3 linked regions of the Arabidopsis thaliana genome follow. The protein of the gene in region 3 interacts with the protein of the main gene of each other region in a pairwise test. Each region holds a gene or a part of one and is shown on either strand. Other genes may lie near its edges.

The links. The genes of interacting proteins can lie anywhere in the genome.
Region 1: the proteins of BPA1 (region 3) and PRA8 interact in a two-hybrid assay, tested with the Arabidopsis thaliana proteins (2 studies listed by BioGRID).
Region 2: the proteins of BPA1 (region 3) and PRA7 interact in a two-hybrid assay, tested with the Arabidopsis thaliana proteins (one study listed by BioGRID).

Annotation. Positions count from the first base shown.
Region 1 is NC_003074.8:4,494,416-4,498,767, reverse strand, and holds PRA8 (PRA1 (Prenylated rab acceptor) family protein), read left to right. Parts: upstream 1-1,967; 5' UTR 1,968-2,999; coding exon 3,000-3,566; 3' UTR 3,567-3,789; downstream 3,790-4,352. Other genes in the region: CYP90D1 (cytochrome P450, family 90, subfamily D, polypeptide 1), read left to right, coding at 7-128, 354-438. UniProt on the Arabidopsis thaliana protein: May be involved in both secretory and endocytic intracellular trafficking in the endosomal/prevacuolar compartments.
Region 2 is NC_003070.9:20,586,412-20,589,762, forward strand, and holds PRA7 (PRA1 (Prenylated rab acceptor) family protein), read left to right. Parts: upstream 1-1,985; 5' UTR 1,986-2,038; coding exon 2,039-2,608; 3' UTR 2,609-2,788; downstream 2,789-3,351. Other genes in the region: PLDEPSILON (phospholipase D alpha 4), read right to left, coding at 1-1,037, 1,126-1,218; AT1G55200 (kinase with adenine nucleotide alpha hydrolases-like domain-containing protein), read right to left, coding at 2,898-2,996, 3,091-3,240.
Region 3 is NC_003076.8:5,534,036-5,538,763, reverse strand, and holds BPA1 (binding partner of acd11 1), read right to left. Parts: upstream 2,896-4,728; 5' UTR 2,723-2,895; coding exon 2,717-2,722; exon of another isoform or gene 2,010-2,716; coding exon 1,900-2,009; intron 1,741-1,899; coding exon 1,671-1,740; intron 1,448-1,670; coding exon 1,373-1,447; intron 1,260-1,372; coding exon 738-1,259; 3' UTR 514-737; downstream 1-513. Other genes in the region: TERT (telomerase reverse transcriptase), read left to right, coding at 1-50, 168-441; SYP21 (syntaxin of plants 21), read left to right, coding at 3,612-3,820, 4,172-4,265, 4,469-4,605.

The sequences.
Region 1 (4,352 bases), on a different chromosome or scaffold from region 3:
AAATAGGAAAGGGACATGAACACGAGTAGTTTCAGTCCTTTTGGAGGTGGTCAGAGATTGTGCCCTGGTCTCGATTTGGCTCGTCTTGAAACTTCAGTTTTTCTTCACCATCTTGTCACTCGCTTCAGGTAACTATCAGTTACATGGATACAAAATTATTTAATATTTGTTGTAATCTTTAAATTTCAAAACAAACAAGAGGGTGTGGTAATTAGTGCTCTACACTTTAGACAAAATGGTACGTTCGGACCAAATAAATCTAAATGTCTAATCTCTTTTTGACAAGTTGGACTTAACTCTTAAACGATATACAGAGACTTATTTGAAAATATGTTGGTGATTATGATATGCAGATGGATAGCAGAAGAAGACACAATCATAAACTTCCCAACGGTGCATATGAAGAACAAATTACCCATTTGGATCAAAAGAATATAAATCATTTTTCTTAAGTGAAAAATGGAGAATCAGTTTTGCATTATCAAACTCTAAAAGGTTAAAGAAGTCACACGAGTGTTTTGTAAGTGGGAAGTGAAAAAGATAGTGAGACAGCAAAAGGTAAGAAAAAAAGAGAACATGATGGAGTTTGGAGACAAAAAATGATTCACACGTGTGGAAGACGATAGCACACATGCCAACTATTTTGTCGTATTCCTTCACAAGGCAAATAAGGACAGAATCACAAAACCTTTTTGTTGACCGTATATATATATATATATATATATTTTTTTTTTGAAGTACAAAGGTGTATGATAATTATGCATATGATATAGAATCCTAATTTTCATGACTATTTCCTCTCTCTCTTTTTTTTTTTTAAATGTTAAGGACGACTATTCCTCTTCGTATATTAAATTATTAACTAAGAAAATCATTACAGAAAAGTTATAATTCTGGTTCAATCATTTATATATTTCCAAAAGAATGGTCTAATAAAGATATTATGATAGTCTACATCTATTTCAAGCAATTTTACAGTTTTTTTGCTAAATATGTTAATATCATTAATAATGAAGTTGTGGCGTTACAAAGAAAACCAGTACAAAAGCAACTTTGGCAAAAAAAGTAAAAACAAAGCTACAATAGATTTAGGAAATTTTTGAAGACATTAACGGATCCAGAGAAGCATTAGCTTACGCCAACGCTTCCTAAGCAATTTTACAGTTACTAGTTATTTTTTTAATTTTTAACTGGGTGATGGTTTTCTCTTTTCTGAATAGTCTCTAATAGTTTTAGATGTAATAATGAATGATTAAGCAAAGTCATATTATTTCTCCTCCACTTATATGATATGATGTAATTAACATAACAACCCACTGAAATTGATTTAAACAACGTGACAAGACAAGAAAGTTGTGTTGTTTCAACTGAACATCACTAACAACCAGATCTAACCACTAATTGTACTATATTACATTTTTCTCACTATTGTAACTACGAGTTGTTTATGTTAACACAATAGCCTTTAGAATTGATTTGGATAAGAGGGCTTCACTTTTAAGAGATCCATCCGTTAAGCCTGTTAAAGGCCCAAAAGTTGCATAATAGAAAAGCCTATATATTGGCAAAGACGGGCAACTGTTTAGGCAAATAGGTATTTCTTATGTTATCGCCGCCGTTGAGCCTTTTCTTGTTTTTATTCCCTATTTTGAGTTTTTCAAGACCTTGATTTTCATTTATTGTTAGTTATTTCTCGTTTGGCTGATGATAAGTCCAGCCCGAAATTCCGTTGTTATAGCTTTTTTTTGGTGAAGTTTGCATGGCCATGGAGAACACTAACTTTTTTTTTCATGTAAGTAGACAATTTCAGAGATACTAATCCAAGAGATGGCGGATACGTTTTACAATCACGAATCTTGTATGATCACTAACCATTGGAACAATAAGAGTATATAATGAGTATATCACCATTTAGTTCTAGTGGGTGGTGATCATATAAGATTGGTAATGGTAACAGTGAAACATATCCCCCATCTATTGGGATTAATTAGTCTCCCTGAACAGTCGTGAGAGAACCTTTGTTTGCTGCGGCAGACACTAGAGACTGTTGGAAGACCTTGAGATATACAAAAATGTAGAATTATTTTGAAAATAGGTGATGTGGATCTGGTACTACTTGATTTACATATATGTATTTGCTTCTCTGCTTACTTGTAACGAAAGCTACATTATATAATATACCTTTGATTTAAGCAATCTTGTTGAATAGGTTTCTCTGGTTCTTATGGAGAAAAACTTAAGATTTTTGTAATCCATCATACATTTTGGTATAGTTTTGATCTTATATGTATTGTGCTTTGACACAAGCTAACTATTTTCTTGTTTCACAGAGCGGGATCAATTCTAAAGCAGCCATGAGTCTGGCTCGCTAAAGAAGCCTATCGATGTGGATCGTCCAATGGAGAGAGAGCATGTGACATGAAACCTTCGTTGTATTGGGCCAATATCTTTTGTAATTGGGCTGACTAAAAATCATGATAAAGTCCGAGGGAGACTATAAATAATTTACTCATTGTTCCTGCCGACATTACACGTGGCGAAAGAGTAGTTATATGCCAGAGAGACTCCTCTAAAATGGGGTCACGTGTAGCCTGTATCGACTATTCAATAATGCCACTCTCGCTCGGTGACACCGTGTCTCTTACTTTATCATTAGTCTTTCAAATTAACTATATAGTCCTTCAACATGTAGTAATTCATCTACTTATAAATTGCTGTTACCCAAATCTCGAGTATCTAAAACTTATACTTTTCAGACATTGACCAAGTAGTGAATCAAATCCTCACGTTACACTATATTGTAATCTTTTTAAAACACGATCTAATTAAATTTTGTTTTATTTCATAAACATAGATTAGTTTAGAAAACGCCATATGCAAATGTGTATCACCTAATTCTTGGGACCTTTCAGAATTCATATATACACATAACAAACAGTCTTTTCATTTACTTTCTCTATTCAATCTCACACGCGCTAAACCATAACCCGATATTACTAATGACGAACTACGGTGCGATTCCGACGTCGTCTCATGCATCTCCGTTGGTGGATGTCGAGTCTCTCTCACGCGCTAAACACCGTATCAAAGCCGGGCTAGCCACGCGCCGTGCTTGGAGAGTGATGTTCGATTTCCACTCCATGGGACTGCCTCACGGTGTCTCCGATGCGTTCACAAGAATCAAGACCAATCTTGCTTACTTCCGTATGAACTACGCAATCGTTGTCTTGATCGTTATCTTCTTCAGCTTGATCTGGCATCCGACATCGCTCATCGTCTTCACCGTCTTGGTCGTTGTTTGGATCTTTCTGTATTTTCTCCGTGATGAGCCTATCAAGCTGTTCCGGTTTCAGATCGATGATCGGACGGTCTTGATTGTTTTATCGGTGTTAACCGTCGTTTTACTCCTGTTGACCAACGCGACGTTTAATATTGTTGGAGCGCTTGTGACCGGAGCTGTGTTGGTTTTGATCCATTCGGTGGTTAGGAAGACGGAGGATCTTTTCTTGGATGAAGAAGCGGCGACGACTGAGACTTCTGGGCTGACGTCATACCCGTCGACTTAAATCGTTTCATCTCGAAATTTGTGTATCTTTTCTATTTTTGTATATTATCTTGTTTTTTTAATTATGCGTAATCAATTTTTATTGGTGTGAGTTTGGTTTGAGACTTTCTCTCTCTCTTTTGTTTTCTGAGTTTTGAGCTCTGTCTGAAGTTTGAACAATTCTAATTTGTTATAATTTTTATTACTCCCTCTGTCCATAAAAGATAAATTTTTTAGGAAAAATATTTGTCTTACAAAGATAGAAATTTTATATTTGCAATGCAAATTTTAAAATTGTTTTCCCGTTTTACCCTTACTAAATAATTAGATAAATATTTATTATTATTTTTAAAATATATTAAGAGGTTAAAATTATGTTTATACAATATTTCTTAAAAAATGTGCAATTTCTAAAAAATTCATCTTAGTGGGACGGAGGGAGTATTTTATATTCGCAAAACTCAGGAATAATTTCTTGGAATGATTTATTAATCTGAAATATTTAAAATGATTTAATCTGAAATACATAATAAATAATCAAATTAATAAGTCAAACATTATAAATTCAAAATGGGTTGTAATGAATATTCCCTTTTTGCATTCCGTAACAAAAAAATAATCAATTTTTGTTGTAAAGTTTATTCAGGTTGGTTCACCTTCAAAGTAGGAAAAAAAGTTTGGTCTTGATTTAAGTTCTTTTTTCATTTGGGTCACACAAATGAGCAATTTGAAGCAAAAATCCTTGATATATATGCAGGCCTTATTCAAATTTCCAATGTAAAGATTTGAAGCAAAAATCCTTATATAT
Region 2 (3,351 bases), on a different chromosome or scaffold from region 3:
TGCCATGGCTCTCTTGGTCCGCCTCTACTTAGCTTAGCTCCAGCTACACTTGTCTGGTAAAAATCAGCTTCTGTTCCGAGTGTACGAAACAGTGAATGCTCCTCAGTGTCATATCGACCATCGCAAAGGTCAAACCCGCCAAGGAAGCTCATGATCTCTCGCTCCTTCGTGCTTGAATTTGTCACCCGTGTATCCAGTGTTATTGTCTTTTGGTGGTGTGCAAACGCTGTAGGGAGCTTTTTGTGCAATCTTGGACACAATCTACAAACAACGTTTGTGTTTCTGAAGTAAGCAAGAGCTCTTTCGACGTTTGTTCTCATTACACCTTTGTTCTTGATCATTGGTAAAGACGTCTCGTCGTTCCACAACATTACTCTCACCGCTACACCTTCCTCTGATTTCCGTTTCAGAAGCTCGCCAACCGTTACTCCAACCGCATGTGGAATCTCAGTTTCGTTGTCGCGTACAAGAACAAGATTAGGGTTTAGTGCCCATCCTGCAATGTAAACCAAGTGCCTAGCACTTTCGATCGCTTTGTAAACATCTTCCCATAGATTCCTTGCATTAAAAGGAACATCATCAACCCTTGGATCAAATGTGGCCTTGTGGTGTGCATCTTGATACAGTACGACTCTGCAGTTCGATCTTTGAGGGAAGCTTGCGTTCCTAATACCTTGAAAAGACGCTTCTTCAAGCGCTCTGCACCATCCCGGTTCAAGATAAGCCGGTCTGAACCACATCAAACACTTAAGCTTCAAGTTACGTTTCGTTGACCCATTGTCTGCAATCAGAGGGAAGAACCCGTTGATAACTGCTGAATTAGATGTCAGGATCTGTTCTGCAGAGATTCGGAATCTTCCGAGAACAGAACATCGAGTCTTGAGCGTGATGGTGATAGTCGTGTCAGTAACCGGGTGAGCGCAGAGGATCTGAAAAGTCTGATTCCAAATACGGTCGTATTCTGAGCTTGTTTTAGCAACTTTCTTCTTGTTTATCTTGATGGTCACGTAAGCTGCTTTTGGCTTTGTACATATACACTGTGAACAAAGATAACAAAAGCTCATGAAAATGAACACAATGATAACATCATCAGAGTCACTAATTCAGTATATGATATAGACTTACATTGAAAGGAAATGGAGGAGAAAAAGGTGTTGCATCGAAGATTGTAATCTCTAGTGTTCCATGAAAGTACTTCTTCTGTTCTTCAAGCTCCATCTTCTCTTTATTCAAAATGTATCTTTAAGAGAATGAGAGATAATTTTCTGTGAATTGTCAAGTATGTGTTTGAAGCTGGTCAATTACAGAATGCACAAGGTTATGTCCATCCATATATGTATATGTATTTGTTAATGTTTTTGGTGAAACTTGTAGGATTCTCCATGGACAATCTTAAAGAAAACATTCAACCATATAGATGACAAAATCGAAGGTGAAGTGTCTTTGAATACAAATCAAGCATTCGACTTCGGTTTTTAAAAATAGGAATTTTAAAAAGCAAAGTGTTAGATGGTATTCAAACAAAAGGTTGGGACTAAAATGTGAAAGCATGAAAATATCTGGTGGAGTTTGTAAATATTTGTGGGGATAAGCCACGTGCAGCAACAAAGCGCTGCCAAAGAAACCACTCGGTCGCAGTTTCTTTGGTGAACTAATAATATGAAATTTTTATTCTGCCGGAAAAAAAAATTAATCCTTCTAATGAATAAAATTATGCTGTTTACAAGTAATTAATCAGATTTATGTTTTGAAAATGACAGAGAATATAATATGCTGTACATTTTCCTAAGAATATGTCTCTATGATGCTGACTGTTAAACACATATAATACCAATATTGTTACCATAAATGTACAGTTGCAAAACAAATAAAAAATTATTACAATATAAAGCATTTATGTATTTATTGGGCATGTAACAACTTTTATCCATATGTGACATTTACATTAGCACCATCACCTAATCCATAGGGACACTGAGCAATTTATAAATTATTACAACCAACAAAAAAAAAAGCTTCGTGTCTCTCTTCTCCAAAAATGACGAACTACGGGGCGATTCCGACGTCGTCTCATCCATCACCGGCGATAGATCTCGAATACATCTCACGCGCCAAACACCGTATAAAATCCGGTCTAGCTACGCGCCGCCCATGGAAATCAATGTTCGATTTCGAATCAATGACTCTCCCTCACGGTTTCTTCGACGCGATCTCGAGGATCAAAACGAATCTCGGCTATTTCAGAGCTAATTACGCCATCGGAGTTCTCTTCATCCTCTTCCTAAGCCTTCTATATCACCCAACCTCGTTGATCGTGTTATCAATCTTGGTCGTCTTCTGGATCTTTCTCTATTTCCTCCGTGACGAGCCTCTTGTTGTTTTTGGTTATCAGATTGATGATCGGACGGTTCTTATTGGTTTATCGGTTTTGACGGTTGTGATGCTTTTGTTGACTCACGCTACTTCGAATATTCTGGGATCTTTGTTAACCGCCGCCGTGTTGGTTCTGATTCATGCGGCGGTTAGAAGAAGTGATAATTTGTTTCTTGATGAAGAAGCTGCGGCGGTTACTGAAGCTTCAGGGCTGATGTCATACCCTTCGTCGTAAATCCAAAAATTTGTTTTTTTTTTTTGTATGTTACTGAGTTTGGTGCGATTTGAGAAAACTTGACATGTTCTTCTACTTTGTTCAATTTGTTGACAACAGTACAATTTTTGAGTATGTTTTGTTGGTTAATTACGTTATTACATGATTAGCACTACAAACACTAATCACTTTGGATAAAGCTACTAAAAAACCATAATTGTCAATTAAGAGGACTTTGATTTTACAAAATTCTTCTATTGATCCTACGCACTATACCAAAAGAAAGTGATCAGATTGGCTAGTTGAGCTTTTAGTTATGATCTCTGAGACCTTTCTCAGTGGATAGTCTTCCATTAAACCTCCCTGAGATTTCATTCATTAACATATCTCCTTCCAATAAACGCAACACCTTCAACAACAAGCAAAAGAGCAGACACACTTGAGAGAGTTTTATTGACTTAAAGAAATGAACATGTTTCAAGAATGGTGAATCTTTTCTTTACCTGAGACATGCGAGGACGCAAATGTGGATCTCTACGTATACACAATGAAGCTGTATGAATCATGCAAATGACTTGTGTTTCTGAATATCGCTTTTCGAGCCTCGGATCAACTAATTCCTCAACCGCATACTCTTCTAATAAAGATCTTGCCTGCTCACAAAGAAAATAAAATAACAAAATGAGCTTCAAGAAAGAAACTTTTAGATTTCATTTACAAGAAGAGACTGAAAATGAGCTAAGAAACCTTAAAAAGAAGAAACT
Region 3 (4,728 bases):
TGGAAGCTTCATCCTCAAACTTTGTTCAAATTCATCACAATATCTGTCAGGTATGGAATCAAAACTACATCATATGTCTGTGAGCATTTCGGTTTTTGGATCATTCTGATTTGAGTTATTCGGTCTTTTTTTGCTTATTCGGTTCTTGATTTCTTTCCAACTGATAGGTACATGTTCAGACTCATAAATAGAAGGGTGCGCAGAATCAACACTGGTTCTAGTTTCAGACCAGTTCTTAAACTATACAAAGAAGAAGTGATATGGCTTGGCTTAGACGCTTATATTCAAGTTCTGAAGAAGAAAAACTCGAGATATCGAATGCTCTTGATCTATTTAAAATCTGCACTTTCTAAACACTCTCTTTCTCAGCAGCTATCGTCGGAATTGAGGTATGCAACAGACCGGTCAAACTCTTCTTCGCTGTGGAAGTTGAATTATTGAAACTGATCTTAACTAGATTTTATCATCGAAACTTAGGTAGATCCTTTAAATTTCTATTTCAGTCATTTTGATAATCTAGGAACAAAATGGATTTGTAACATTTAGGGTAAAGAAAGATTTAAATGTCAACTTATTAAATATGTATATTGGAAAAAACCCAAACTATAGTCTAATAGTGGTAGGGAAAATCCAGGCATAGCTTATATGGTACATCCCAAAGACCAAACCAGATTTCCAACTTCCATGTCAAAGAAACCAACAAGGAGAAACAAAGGAAACTGTTTAACTTGATGATATTAGTTCTTCGAGTATTCGGACGAATGAATCGGAGAATACCCTTCTGGCAGTTGCTGCTGCGACTGTGCTGGTTGCGATGGTTGCTCAGCTTCAACCTTCTCTTTTGTTTTCTGTCCAACCTCTCCAGCTGCTTGAGCCACTCTATTGAATGCTCCTGCGGCCCAGCTCACACCAGTTAACACGTAACGGTTCTTCATCACAGCGCTTCCTGCACTGCTCACAGTCTGCTCCGCAGCTGCATACACAGACTTGGTCCTCTCTGTTACCTGAAAGTTTTGGTCCACCGCCTTGATTTTTTCGTTCACCAAGCTTGTTCCAGCTGTAAGTTTCTGGCTAAGACCGATTTTTTGGTCTAGTGAAGCAACTCCTGCGGTGGCGGTTGAGGTGAAACCATGTTTCTCATCAAAAGCTTTTGCTTTGCCGACAGCATCTTTCCCAAGAATGAAACCCTTTGCTAACATGCTGCTCACAACATCTTCTGCCTTCTGGACAACAGATTCTGCACCGCTGCTCTGTGTTTCCTGAGAAAATTAACACAAATTAACACCTCTACGAAATTACTGCTCTATTGAGTGTTGAGATGAATACTTTTCACTAATCAAAAAGAAGAAAAACAGTATGAAGAAGACATTACAGCATGAGGGGCTGCTGGTGGACTGTAGTTGGGAGCCAACTCAATGATGACTGATTGATCGGCAATACTCGCTCCCTGAAATAACACCCCTTGTTAGTAATGCAAATTGCAAATGGTCCCAAATATTAGTTGTAAGCAAACTAATTTTACTTATAAATACTCAGAGATACTTTGTCTGGACTAGAGAAGTATAACCATATTAAACGAAGGTTTATAGACATGGATTGATTACTAAATTAACAGTGTTATGTAAGAGTTGAATGCTACTACAATAATATTGAGATAAGAGTGAACCCACAGATAAGAGCACAGCAGTCTCTGCTCCTTGAGTTTCTTTAAATGTGACATAAGCACTATGCTCGTTACTGCTAGTTAGAAAAAGAAAACAAAAACAAAGCTCAGAGTCAGTAAGTTTAAGAGAACTGTATCTAAATTTGCTGAGAAAAAGCTTCGGAAGTTAATTGATCAAAAAAAGCTTTAAATGTCAAAATTTTGAAATCAAAGAACAAGGAAACAATATCACTAACCTTTGGATATCGATGCTTTCAACTTCACCAGAGAAAGAGAAAAACTCTTTAATATCATGCTCAGTTGCTCCTGAAGAGAGATTGCCAACTTTTACTGACCTTACCTGTGACTGTCATCATAAAGAATCAAAAGGGAAAGAATCATTAACGAAAACAATAAACAGGTGTTTCATGAGAATGTTTACAGTACAACTACTTTTTGTATCCAAGCATATCTAATCGACCGAAAGTCCCATTTTAATCAAATCAGCTCAAACTCAAAGAAGCCTAGATTTATCACAAGATTATACAATTATGCAAGTAAAGGGATAATATTATAGTGGCTTAGAAGATGACTGTCATCATCTCACTATACAAAAAGAAAACTCGAATGAACCATGAAGGCTACCAATTAAGGAAACTAATCGACAATGTATGGAGGAATCTAAAAGTAAATTGGCTAGCGAGATTCGGTTCCAAATTGAGAATAACACAATCGCGATTTACTACGATAAACGAAAACCAAAACCGAGAAATCAAGGAGATAATAGAGATAATTGCACGAATACAGATCACACAGAGATACAGAATCAATTAATAACGACAATAATAATCATCAAACTCGTCCAAATAGCATTGGAGATATTATGTCGGCAAGTGCAGCAATCAAACAACAGATCATCCAAATTGAAGAAGAAATCAAATCAATAGCCAAAAATATCAATCCTGAGAAAATTTCCCGATAAACAAATGGATCGCAACAATATCTACCAGCAGAGGAAACCTAAACCTTTTCCGCATAAAACAAAATTATACACAAAAAAAAAGTAGAGCATACCGCCATGGATGTTGATCTTCGAAGTCGCGCAGAGAGAGAGATATGTAATTTGTTGCTTTTGTCACGCAGATTCAGAGATTGGCCTGAAAACCGAAACGTACTTCGAGATCGATGATGCGTAGATAGATAGAGAGGGAAGAGTGTATTTTGCTTTATATGACACCTCACACTCAACGTGTGGGTTTGCGTTACGCCCTTTAATCCTATTTTAGTCCCTAATTGTTTCCAACAATTAATATTTTCACTTTTTTAGTATATATTTCTATTTTTTCCCTCTTCAGTTCAAAACAAAAGTTAGGAGTTTCGTAACACAATTATTAAGTTTATGTTTTATTAGAAAAAAATACATAAAAATTTTACTTTTTATCAACAAAAATATATCATTGTTTTTCTATAAAAAGTGGTTTATGTATCAAAGTGATTACTGTAATTATTAATTCAGTCATAAAATATGATAACTTGGTAATTACAAAAAAGTTGGACTTCTCCTTGTTTTTGGCCCAACTCTTCTCTTTTCCTTTTACTAAACTCCAATGTAGCCCAAAATCATTTAACCAATCCTTATCCTGCAAACCCACTCAATTGGTCCGGTTTACTCGAACCGAGTTTCAATTTTACACGGAAGGGCAGGTGAGGTCAACAACGACACGCAGGATTCTTCCCTCGCAATGGCGTGTCACCGCCAAATAATTTATACGTATTAATAAATTCCCTCCACCACCATATTCACGCGGACCACATGAGATTAAATGATTTATACAAATTATAAAACAAAAATTAACATTAAATTTTGGGAAAACTTATAATTCACCTAACTCATTTCCATCATCTTCGTCTTCGTTTGTTCCCCTGAGATAGAGATAAGAGAATTTCGAGAGATTCGAGAGAAGAGACGATGAGTTTCCAAGATCTCGAAGCTGGTACTCGATCTCCGGCGCCGAATCGTTTTACCGGTGGGAGACAACAGAGACCTTCGTCTCGTGGGGATCCATCTCAGGAGGTCGCCGCCGGGATTTTCAGGATCAGCACGGCTGTCAATTCCTTCTTCCGCCTCGTTAATTCGATCGGAACACCTAAAGATACTCTTGAATTACGAGATAAGCTGTCAGTAGCAATTCTTAATCACACTCTTCTTCTCTTTGTTAAATCTCTGTTGATTAGGGTTTTGGTTTTACTTATTGATTTTGGTCGATTTCATTTCAATTTTTAATTGAAAAAGTTTTCTAATTGTTTTGAAGCTAATCCTGCATTATTTTCCCTTAACCGAAGAACAAATTTGAGTTTGCTGATCGATGTGAGACAACATTGCAAATAATGCCTGACAACATTGCAAATAATGAGCTTTTTGTGTGTGTGTGTGTGTGTGTGTGTATTGAGAAATTGTTTTTTTTTTAGATTGGTTTCATCTATTTGTTCTGTGAATTGTTTTAAAGTGTTAGGTTCTTTTGTTGGCAGGCAAAAGACAAGGTTACAGATATCCGAATTGGTGAAGAATACTTCAGCTAAACTTAAGGAAGCTAGCGAAGCCGACCTTCATGGATCAGCTAGTGTAAGCAAATGCTTACTTTTTTGTTTCATTCCCTTACGATGCTATGGAATGTTAGTGTCTAAGAGAACATTTTCTATTGAACCAGTTTTATTTTGGTTTAATTTTGTCAGAATCGTACCATTTTATTCATTTAGTGGGAGAATTGTTTACATGATTGATGATATGTGTATTCTAGTTTTGATGTTATGTTTGTATTCTTGCAGCAAATTAAGAAGATAGCTGATGCTAAACTGGCAAAAGATTTCCAATCAGTTCTCAAAGAGTTTCAGAAAGCTCAGAGACTTGCAGCTGAAAGAGAAATAACATATACTCCTGTGGTCACAAAAGAAATACCTACCAGGTAACCACTTTGACCAGTTATGTTTCAATACCTGTTAAAAAACAGAAGATCATGGTAAATGAATCTCGTTGTTTCCTAAATGAGAAGAAAAAAAGTCTCCGGATTATATACTCGCATGTTATT